Linked DNA regions of Bombyx mori. The protein of the gene in region 1 binds, or shares a complex with, the protein of each later gene. Links are inferred from orthologs where the notes say so. Each region holds a gene or a part of one and is shown in the gene's direction. Other genes may lie near its edges. The genes, in order: mediator of RNA polymerase II transcription subunit 24, mediator of RNA polymerase II transcription subunit 16 and mediator of RNA polymerase II transcription subunit 4.

Evidence for each region.
Region 2: mediator of RNA polymerase II transcription subunit 24 (region 1) and mediator of RNA polymerase II transcription subunit 16 share a complex: the UniProt entries of both Drosophila melanogaster proteins name them as parts of the mediator complex. The link is inferred for Bombyx mori from reciprocal best matches to the Drosophila melanogaster genes MED24 and MED16.
Region 3: mediator of RNA polymerase II transcription subunit 24 (region 1) and mediator of RNA polymerase II transcription subunit 4 share a complex: the UniProt entries of both Drosophila melanogaster proteins name them as parts of the mediator complex. The link is inferred for Bombyx mori from reciprocal best matches to the Drosophila melanogaster genes MED24 and MED4.

What each region holds. Positions count from the first base shown.
Region 1 is NC_085113.1:5,802,312-5,806,071, reverse strand, and holds the start of mediator of RNA polymerase II transcription subunit 24, read left to right. Parts: upstream 1-1,215; 5' UTR 1,216-1,941; coding exon 1,942-3,760. UniProt on the Drosophila melanogaster protein: Component of the Mediator complex, a coactivator involved in the regulated transcription of nearly all RNA polymerase II-dependent genes.
Region 2 is NC_085108.1:235,676-239,435, forward strand, and holds the start of mediator of RNA polymerase II transcription subunit 16, read left to right. Parts: upstream 1-1,035; 5' UTR 1,036-1,191; coding exon 1,192-1,253; intron 1,254-1,691; coding exon 1,692-1,869; intron 1,870-2,607; coding exon 2,608-2,740; intron 2,741-3,269; coding exon 3,270-3,399; intron 3,400-3,760. Other genes in the region: neogenin, read right to left, coding at 513-597. UniProt on the Drosophila melanogaster protein: Component of the Mediator complex, a coactivator involved in the regulated transcription of nearly all RNA polymerase II-dependent genes.
Region 3 is NC_085112.1:8,189,782-8,193,541, reverse strand, and holds mediator of RNA polymerase II transcription subunit 4, read left to right. Parts: upstream 1-1,159; 5' UTR 1,160-1,415; coding exon 1,416-1,483; intron 1,484-1,556; coding exon 1,557-1,737; intron 1,738-1,876; coding exon 1,877-2,028; intron 2,029-2,475; coding exon 2,476-2,654; intron 2,655-3,202; coding exon 3,203-3,378; 3' UTR 3,379-3,546; downstream 3,547-3,760. UniProt on the Drosophila melanogaster protein: Component of the Mediator complex, a coactivator involved in the regulated transcription of nearly all RNA polymerase II-dependent genes.

The sequences.
Region 1 (3,760 bases):
ATTATCAGGTTTATCACATTGTTATTACGTTATAGCTAGATGCGAACGAGTTTTGAATATTATGAGATGTTTAACTGGAGTCTGGTGGGGTGGACATCCATATAATCTAAAGCTCCTATACAACGCTCTCATACGAAGTATTTTAGATTATGGTACTTACTTTCTTGAACCATGTAATGCAGTCGGACTAAATAAGCTTGATGGCATACAATCAAAAGCTCTCCGTTTAATAACCGGTGCAATGAAATCTAGTCCTATCAATGCTTTACAAGTTGAGTGTGTTGACCCTCCTCTGCGACTCCGTCGTCAATATCTTTGTGACAAGTTTCTGTTCCGTGCTCTACAATTTACCAAGCATCCCCTTCATACCAAATTATCTACTTTATCACATTTAGTTTCATCTTCCCCCTACTGGAGGCACAAGTCTCTACCTTGTTTAGTCGTGAGTTTTCGTAAATTTTCCTCTTTGCTTGCCCCCACTCACATGTCTCATCGTCTCTCTATTTTTTCTGCTGAATATGAAGCATTAACTCTTGTTCCTAAAATTCATTTTACCTTAGATATATCTCGATCTATTTTTTCTGCCAATATCGATTTTAATATCATCTTAGATAGAGAGTGGTCAGATCGACATTACATTTATAGCGATGCATCTAAAAATTCTTCCTCTGGTCTCGTTGGTGTTGGAGTTTATCATCAACAATCAAAAATTGTCCAAAAAATTAAACTTCCACCAGAAAGCTCTGTTTTTACTGGGGAATGCTACGGATTATTTAAAGCTATAGAATATGTTAATTTGATGAAATTACATAAATCTGTTATTTTTTCTGATTCCAAAAGTGCGCTTCAGGCACTTCAGAAATTTCCTTTCAAATCTTGCGCCAATTACCCTGTTATTGTAGATTGTAGAAAATTACTGTGGGAATGTAATTTAAAAGGTTTCGATGTAATTTTTGCCTGGATTCCTAGTCACGTGGGTATTTCTGGCAATGAATTTGCTGATAAACTTGCCAATGATGCTGTGGATTGTGGAGATATTTATCCATACAAAATCTTCATAAATGATCTTTTGTGTCTTCCGAATTCAGACCTGCGCGAATCTTGGGGACAAACATGGGCTATTTCTAGTCAATATAAAGGAAAGAATTATGCCCAAATACAATCTGTCATTCCTACCAAGCCTTGGTTTTACAATTTTAGATTTAATAAGATCACGACTACTATCATAATCCGGATGAGACTGGGTCATGCTTGCACTCCATCTCATTTGACTAGATTGGGTATAGTCAATAACAATATGTGTGATTGCGGCGCTGATGTTGGCAATTTAAATCATATTTTTTTCGCGTGCTCCTTAAATGACTGTTCCTCATTTATTGATTTATTAACATCCCTTGGTATTCCACTCCCGACTTCTATTAATACTTTGCTGTGTACTATGAACTATGATATTTATTTATGTATTTCAAATTTTATCCTGAAACATAATATCAAATTGTAATTATGTATATAAATACCTACCTGATCCATTCTTTTTAATTATCCGTTTTTTCCTTTTTCTCCTGTTTCCCTACCTTTACCCTTGTATGTGGCTAAATGCACAAACAGTGCAAGCTAAAAAAGAAAAAAAAAAAAAAAAAAAAAAAAAAAAAAAAAAAATGTCTATTTTGTGATTGGGCTATTATTATTCAAGTTTGATCATATAAAGTAATGTTTATTCTCAAATGCTCGCTATAAATAAAATATCTTTAAAAATGTGATAAACTTAATATGCCACACAAATATAACGAATTAATTTCAATATTCAACAGTGAACAAGAAAATGTAATTTGTAACCTCAAAGACTAGTAGTAAAGTGTTGTTTAAACGACTAATATCACGTCAAAAATGTGTGAAATGTAAGAAAGAAACATTATTGTGCTCTAATAAAATACAATAAAAATGGATGCTTCCAAAATAACGAGTAAAACTAGTTCACTAAAAGCTTTAATTTTAAAAGCTTGGAAAGAACGATGGACTGATATTCAATGGGGCATCAACATCAAAACTATACTGCCGAGGGGCGTCAGTGGTGACCTATATAATCTGGCTGATTGTATTCTTCAACAAGCCATGGTAGGCTGTGGGGCCAATCAGTTAGTGATATCGTATTTGAAACATTCACTTGCGTGTCATTTGGTCTCTTTCGCGGCTGTGTTACAACGAATCGCAAAATTTGATGCTTTTCACAAACCTCATTGTATAATAAGCTTGTTGGAGTTCCTTGAAACCTTTTTGGAGAGTATTACATGCAGAGGCAAGTTAGAAGAAGAAGTTTTAGCTTATGCTGTATCATCTATAATATTGTGGCTTTTACAAGTATTTCACTATTCATTAACCAAGTATCCAGCTTCAAGTTCTGTTCAAAGTCAGGAATTATTGGAGAAATCATCAGTTTTACTGAACTCTATTGTTAATACAGATTTTCTGATTGCAATGTTCTATTTGGCCAAGCAGAATGATCCTGATGAGTATAACGAAGTGACAAAGAAATGTCAAGAGATAACAGCATTTATGATGATGAACACTCAATTCAAACCTCCGATGACCATACATGTCACTTTACACAAAATCTGCAATATGGAATTGGATAAAATAGCACCCTTAAACAATAAACCAGAAGCTGTAACCTATTGTCTGCAGGCTTTAATAGCTATAAATGTGTTCTCAAACCCTAGTGCAGGCATGCAACAGATCTCCAGCCAACTACTAATGGTTCAGAAAATAAAAGGCTATTCATTGTCACGTCTCTACTGTGAACTTATTAGAGCTTGTTTCATTTCACTAAATGATTCTAGTAATGATGCATCGAAGCAATCATTGTGGGCTGCATTCACTTTTCTAAAAGTTCCACAAGTGATAAATCACCTCCATAATATGTGTGGGACAACAAATAAGGAAAGTGAATATTCTACTGAGGTTGTGGAAGCTTTTGAAATGTTATTACAATCAGCTCCACTCCTGGATATTGTTGATACGAAGAATTCTTGTAATAGTGTTATTTCACTTATAGAGCCATTAGTTAAACTTAATGTTCTGTCAGATAATACTTTGACATATTTTAAACAAAAACGTGAGACTATTGATCATCCTTTACAAAAATTTGAGCCAATAGGATTACAAGGCTCAGTCCCATTATTTATAACTCGTGTTGAACCTACATTGGCAGAGATTTTAAAAGCATTGAGTGGTGAATTTCACAAAACTCAAGAGTCGCTCTATATCATGCTATGCCAAATAGTTGGTCGAACTACATTGGATACCATCCTGGCCGTTGCAACTGTGGAAGGAAAACTAAAAATGTTTGTGTCAAGACTCATTAAGTTTAATGAATTTGCATTGTTTGCTGCAAGTGAAAAAGGTGCACCACAATCAAAAGTATATATATTTGACATTTCATTTTTGCTTTTATGTTGGATAGTCCAAGATTATGGAGCTGATGTTGTTCTAGAAGAAAATGGTGATTCATTTTTTGAGAAATGGGTAAGGGATTGTATGGTACATAAAGGAAATTATAAATCTTCAGATCAGATACTTCAGAAATGTGATCATGTTGTTGATGTTATCATTCACCATTTGAGTGCTCCTGACTTTGATTTCAAAAATACTAATGTCAAACCTCATGATCTTTGTATGAATATCACTGGTGCAGTCAAAGAGGTTCTTTTTGCTTGGGAACAAGGTCTACTTTCGGCAACAGATGTTAAAAGAATGTTGGATT
Region 2 (3,760 bases), on another chromosome or scaffold:
TAAAATATACGAGACGTTGGATAAGTATAATTATGTATGTAGTAATACTAGTACAAAATTATAAAGTTAAATCAGAAAAATCCAAAGGATCGAATAAAATTATCCAGAGAAAAAAACAGAATAATTAAAAATAACAAAACTTCACTTTTGACCGTAAAACAGAAAGTATTATTGAAGAAGACATATTTTCTATTAAAAGTTCATAACTTTAGTCCAAAAGTAATAAAATATATACCGCGCCCAAGCCGTACACATCCTCATAAATTTTATTAACAACCGCTCTAAAAGCGTCAGAGAGACATAAATACTTACTAAACTTAAATTAGGTAGATTTGCAAGATAGTAAATAAAACGCTTCAGAAACTAAATCCAAATGTAAATAATTTCCTTATTTTAAATGACTTATGCCAAAGTTCTCGAATATTTTAACTTGGCATGTGCAGGCAAGCTCACAGTTACTTGAAGACAATGGATCGATAATAAATGCCGTATTTTACATGAAAGGAGCCTACCTTGAACGTATGTAAACAAATGTAGCGACAGCCACAAGAATATCCAGTTTCTCACGCCGTAAGCTACGATCCCTGTCCGAAACATGGTTCAAACCAATAGAAGACCACTGCACTAGAGGTTTTAATTCATAACTATCACATTTTCACATAAAATCAAAAATATTTATGTTAAAGTTCACAGATAACGAATTCGGAGCGATACTACGCGATCCGCCATTTTCATGTCCACTTACGTTCGGAAACAATTCGATATTGAAAGGGCATTGCCCGGGACGAAACGGAGCGCCCTGAAGTTAGTACACTTCGTTGATTTCTGTCAAACGAGAAATGGAATTGGCAATGGAAATTCTGACATACAATATGAAATTCGAAATCGCTAGGAGACAAAACATTTAAAAAATAAATATAATCCGTGCCAACCAAAAATACGTATAATCCTTTTATCATTCGTTACATACAATTGGTACTTCCACAAATAAATATATAAATTCAGATCCAAGCAATAATAAAACGTTATTGTCATTTTGACACATTTTAAAAACTGACGTGATAGGTATCAACAAATAAAGTTTTTGCAATCTTATTAACTTCAAATTTCCAACCTGCTTTACATGCGTATTTTAATAAACATTAAACATTTCGTTCACAAATCGCTAACCGCAGTCCGCGGTAGTTTGTAATGGAGCTAATATACTCTATGAGACGCAAGCCACTTAAATGTGAACCTCCGCACTTCGAAAAGTAAATAGTTTAAATTTATATCAAAAGTTTATATTTCTATCCAAATTTACTAAAGTTTACAAATTCTTCTTCTTCTTGCTTCGGTTTCCTCAATACTGAGGGTCGTGACCATCTCCTCGCAACAAGAGTTTACAAATTAAGATATCTTTAACGGCAGTAACATCAACTTATTTTTTAAGTTACCGTTGTTCATGATGCCTTCCATCATAAGAAAACACTAAAAGGATAAAAATAACAAATTAAGGAGAAAAGTAATAGGAGACTGCTCAGCTCATGGATGTATATTATAAAAAGAGCTGACTTTAGAACTTATCACATCTACATAAAATTCAAGTATTTTAAAATAGTCCCATGCGTTCTGTGTTCTGTTTGTAAAACATTATTTCTGTTTCTTGGTGTTACATAAACTCAATGCTTAATAATGTTGTCTATTTCTAGTGTAAAAGACTCTGAAGTAGTCCGACCAATATGTACAATATCATGTGCAAATATCATAGCATTCTCATCACCGACAGAGCTTAGTGATGTGGACGGAGCAACATGGGGAGGTCATGTGTATGTATGTGACTTAGATACCCCATGGAACAGTCACAAAGTTACAAGTACAGCTTATCCTGTAAGTGTGAAATAGTAAAAGTATAATGAAACTATGTGATACAGATCAGTTATTCAAAAGTGGTATAATTTTACAACCAAATGAGCTCTTTATGTATTAACACTATTAATGAGTTTCCATATCAAATAGTAGACTAGAACCCTATGTGGCCAGGTTTTGTTCGCATAAGTGAACAGACCAGCTCACTCACCAAGAGTTAAACAATTACGGGAGATGATAAACAGTGTCAGATGATCGTCATTGCCTACCATCATTATGTTGGAGAAATATTCAGTGAGACTCTTTAAACCTTACACACATCTACATTAATGCTATCAAATGTCAATCTGTTCATATTATCAATATTTTAGGATCTACAGTAATTGATTTCACTGTGGTTATGATATGATTTACTCATGATTTACAGATATGATTTACTCATATTTGTAACTTCTTCATAACTTAGTATTTGTGATGATATATGCTTCTTACTTATAATTGATATCCACATCAACAATTTCAATTATTTAACAAAATGATCTAAAAACTAGTTTATAGCAGTGATTCTCAAACCCTGTGCTGCCAAAATTTTGAAGTTTGCTGTCAAATTTTATACTCAAATGATGACCATACTATTTTATACGGTCTATAGGTTCGGAAAAATACATTAAGCTATCTAAAAGTTTGTATGGAAATACTCTTACAACTTTGTTTCTTTATGCAACTATGTTCTAATAAAATAATGGATACAAATTCCAGGTGTCAGCTCTAGAGTGGGACCTGGAAGGCAAACAGTTGTTAGTAGCCACTACAGTGGGTGATGTGTCTGTCTATGGACAGAAAGACTTCCTCCTCAATGATTGGACATGTCTTTACAGTGCTAACTTCCCTGGTAAGATAAAAATTTAACTACCTAAGTACAAAACTAGTTATTTTAGTAAAATTGTTTATCTTAAAGCATTACGACTACTGCCACTTCTCTGATGTTGTCGTACACTAAATGCATTGCTATTTTAAAATCTTTAATGTAATTTTGAGTCAACTTTTTTAATTGATTTATGCATAGGGGTTGTTTGTGGTACCTAAGAACATATAAGATCAGATGGCTCTCTAAGTGCAAACTTAATTCAGCCCTTATTTAAACGCTTAGATAGTCAACATTTTCATATTCTGGTACCATCGCCCTGTCTGTTCTATCATGAGACATAATGTGGCTCCAATTGATGTTTGGGATAGCTGTCACTGCAACATGACTCTGGTCCCATGTCTCATGATGAGTGGTGGCTTTTAAAAATATTTCTTTGAATAGATCTTAATAAGTTATAAACATGTAATAAAGATTCTTTTCAAGGCCATATCAATAAAGATGTTTTCTTGTTTTTTATTTTTCATTTTTGTCAATAAATGACAAAATATTTCAGGAGAACACATAATCCAAGGGGCCTTTTTCCACAATGGACGTCGTGTGGTGGCCGTGGATAAAAAATCAGATGCGGTTATCCCTGAAAAAATACAAATGCTTCGGTTCTCTCCTACTCTCAAGGGATTCGGGTGAGTGTATCGGGAGCTTGTGCAATCTCTCAGTAGGTGCAAAACAGACTGCAGAGCTACTTATTGTTTCTGACAATTAATCTAATTATAAAGATAAAGAAACCTTTATTAACAATCTTAATGCATATTTAGGTACATACTATTAATGTAATTTGTCGTGATCGTGACATTTCTTCTTCCACGTAGAACCTGCAATGGCCTTTATGTTGTCTACCCACCTTTAGAACGGTAGTTCTTTTAACCAATCAGTTTCTAATTTAGCCCATTTTTTCTGTTTTGCTTCTTATTAGATTTATCCAATTATCCAAGACTAGCTTTTGACCGCGACATCGTCCGCGTGAAATAGTTCACAAATAATGGT
Region 3 (3,760 bases), on another chromosome or scaffold:
TGTAAGTAACCATCCATTTTGATTGAATTAAGGATTCGAAGTCTCAACTGTTTTGTCTATTATCTTGCCCTTTATACCGAAACGAATAACTGGTAGGTGGCAATAATAGGAAGCTTGGTCGTAGATACGTATCTACAACCTACGCTATACCGCCAATAATTACGAATTATAAATAAACCATAACAATCAATATCACAATCTTTCAATCCTTTTTCAGTATTCGCAAGTCTAATAATTAATAGAATAATTTTTTTTGTGCAGTGTTTCAATAATTTTGATGGAATCAGATGTCCTTTATTTTGAGAATATTTTTATTACACCAATATTGTATTTCTTCTGACAAATATTCTGAACCTGTGAAATGGTTTTTTTTTATCTAAGCTTGAGAGCTATGTCAGTGTAACTTATTAAGTAGGTGAGCTCACGGGGATCTAACCTGACGACGTTGCTAACACTAACCCTAGCAAGAGCAATACTTTGCAGAATCTACCACGGGATCGGAAACGCGACCCACTGAAAAGATCCGGCGAGAAATTCAGTGGGCTTTATTTGTGGGTTATTTTACTAGCCGAGCCTTCGTCGCAAGCGATGGGTTCAACGAGAACGATGAATGATGACCAAACGATGTTCAAATTCATGAAAGTGCACAACGGGTAGAAAAATGAAACGAAATCGCTACATGTGGTTTTTCGGAGTCTTTCAATTAACGTCTCAGGAAATAAACACGATTTTACTGAGAGATCATATCATAATAACTAGACTCTACAATACTCTACATGGGTAGGTACCAGCGTACTGTGTATTTCTGCCGCCAAGTAATCATGCATTCTGATTTAAAGGGTGGAACACACTTTATAGTGTAAAATAGAAAAGTGAAGTTAAAGTTGGGGGCAGCAATCACTTTGTGATGTCTTTAAGCTCCGGTAACTACTAATAGGCCTTGAGGTCATTCACCCATCTTCATAAGAAAAAGTAAATCATCTCATCTCGTTACCAGTAGTAAATTTTATTTTATTTCTTATAACGTAAATAGGCTACGGCCTTATAAAACAAAGTTTGTAGATATAAATTATACTGAAACTCACTTTAAAACTAGAAAAACTGTAAAAGTACGAGAATAAGTTTCTCTATATCATAGAGAAAAATATTTCAAGGCTCTACTAATTATTAGTCTGTGCTTGCTGTGGAACATAGTCTATGACTTTCACGTTTGTCGTCTGCTGTATTGGAAACATCAAACAATGTTATTATTTTTACTGTAAACATTGAATGTAGTTACCACGTACATAGTAGCGTTTTTGATACAAGAAATCCCAAGAGTCGCAGCGTTGGGGGGTCGTTTGTCCAGTTCATATGATATAAGGAAATAATACATATCGTTTATATTAAAAAAAGCTGTTAAGCTATATAGAGCTATGGCGTCACATTTAAGTACTAAAGATCGCTTATTGGCACTAATAGATGATATCGAACTTATTGCTAAGTGAGTTAAAACACGATTGAACTGTGGAAAACATTACCGATCAACTTCATGTTCTAATTCTTTAAATTTTCAGGGAAATAATAGAAGTTTCCATAGCACCAAAACCACAGAAAGTGTCCGCTGCAGATCATGCTCAGTTGACGGACCTACTTCTATCAAAACATGGAGAATTGAAAAAAACATTAGACCTAGCTGACGAACAAGCAAAGATCCAACAGAAAATGAATGAACTCAAAGCTGAAGTAGATAGTAAGGTAAATACTACAAAAGAGATTTATTTTAAGTAAAAAATGGATAAAATTTTGGAGTGGACTGACTCATCCACTGCTAGTTCACAACAATTTAAGCCACAAGCGAATTATGTAATTGAAATGTTTTTGTTGTGTTACTAAGGATCAAGATATATATCACCTTCAAAGACAATTGAAAGATGCAGAACAAATTCTGGCTACATCACTGTATCAAGCTCGACAGAAACTTGCATCAATAGTGAAGTCTAGAAAGAGACCTGTACCCTCTGAGGAGTTGATCAAATTTGCACACAGGTTAGTAAACAATTAAAGATTTCTACATTGAAATTAAATATTTTTTCTGAGTCAGGTCCTTAAAACACATGATGAGTACTCCTAAATATTGAATATTAAATATTTATGATCTCAACAGAGATTTCAAACCTGACCAATGACAACAGTGAGACAATGATAGTAGGCACATTGACTAACAAATAAATCAATGAGATGTTTAGTATATTAACAGTTGATTAAGTTTATTAATGCAAAAAGTCTGAATGGATATTAGGTATTGTGTCTGAATAGCCAACAATGTTATGAAAATAACTATCTACAGAAAACAGTTTCTTTCATAACTATAGAGTTACACTTTAATTAAATTACATTAAAAAGAATTTTTAAATATTAGACAGTACACTATTTTTGATGTGAGAACTAAATAGTACTTAAAAAAACTTTTTTTGACTTACTGATATTTTACAGAATAAGTGCATCTAATGCTGTCAGCGCACCTTTGTCGTGGCAACCTGGTGATCCTCGTCGGCCTTATCCAACTGATTTAGAAATGAGATTAGGAATGCTCGGTCGCCTCTGTGATCTGCCATTGAATGGTCACACGCCTTCTACACTGAATGAACTTCATCGTATAACAACTGGTGGAGGTATAAATGCATTACTCATTATATTAATGAATCATTCTTAGAACAAGTTGCATATGTATAGAACTCTTTGTGCAGTACATATTTATACAATTCTAGTATTGGTACTTTATCGTTATAGTTAATTTGATTCATCTACAATAAGCATGTATTATCATAGTTATTAATAGCTATGAGAGAAGTGGGTGATAGGGAACACCAAACACCTAAACTACTCAGCAAGTGCTTTGGCAGATATATCATGTTTTGGACCACTGTATTAAACTCAAATATACAAGAATAATATTTTTCAGGAAAGTTGAATTAATGATCAAATTTCTATAGGATTTGTAAAGAATAAAAAAAATCTCCTATGTTATTGCCACCTCTTTTTATTAATATTGTCAACAGAGGCTTCCTTCAAAACCCATAACCCATGGAAATTATTTAAGAATATTCTTATCATCAGAATTTTACAGAAACATTTTACCCTTTTGTTAATTGCATTAGGTAAAAAAAACATGTAAAACCATTTGCTTGTTAATCAGGTTTACTGTGTTATATTATTTCAGTACCAGCTTCAGCTTCAAGCCAATTCACTTGGCATCCATCAGGCGAGCTACACATGTCTGTTGGAGGCGGTAACTCTGTAGCTATTGATGGCCGAGGGAAGGATGCTCCCAACCAAGAAGATGTTGAAGTTATGTCCACAGACTCCAGTTCAAGTTCAAGTAGTGATTCACAATGAATACAGAAAAACCGTGGACTTCATTTTGATTAAAAGTGTAGTGCAACTCAACAAGTTAAAAAGACTGATGCTTGTGTTTATTATGAAAAAAATATTTGTAGAATTAATTCAAATGTTATTTAAATATCCTCATAGAAATGACATAATAAAAAAATTTATTCCACATAATCGTTTTGTTATATTTGAACAAAAATTTAACCTCCAAATTTATTTTTCGATATCTATGCACGCGAACTCTGCGATTAAGAGTTGGAAGTGCGAACTAGCCTGTTGACATAACCCAAACAGTTTCTCGTCAGTTCTTCTCAGTGGGTTGCGATTCTGATCCTGTAGGTTTTAACGAAACATTGCTCTTGCCAGGGCCAGTGTTGGCAAACTCTCT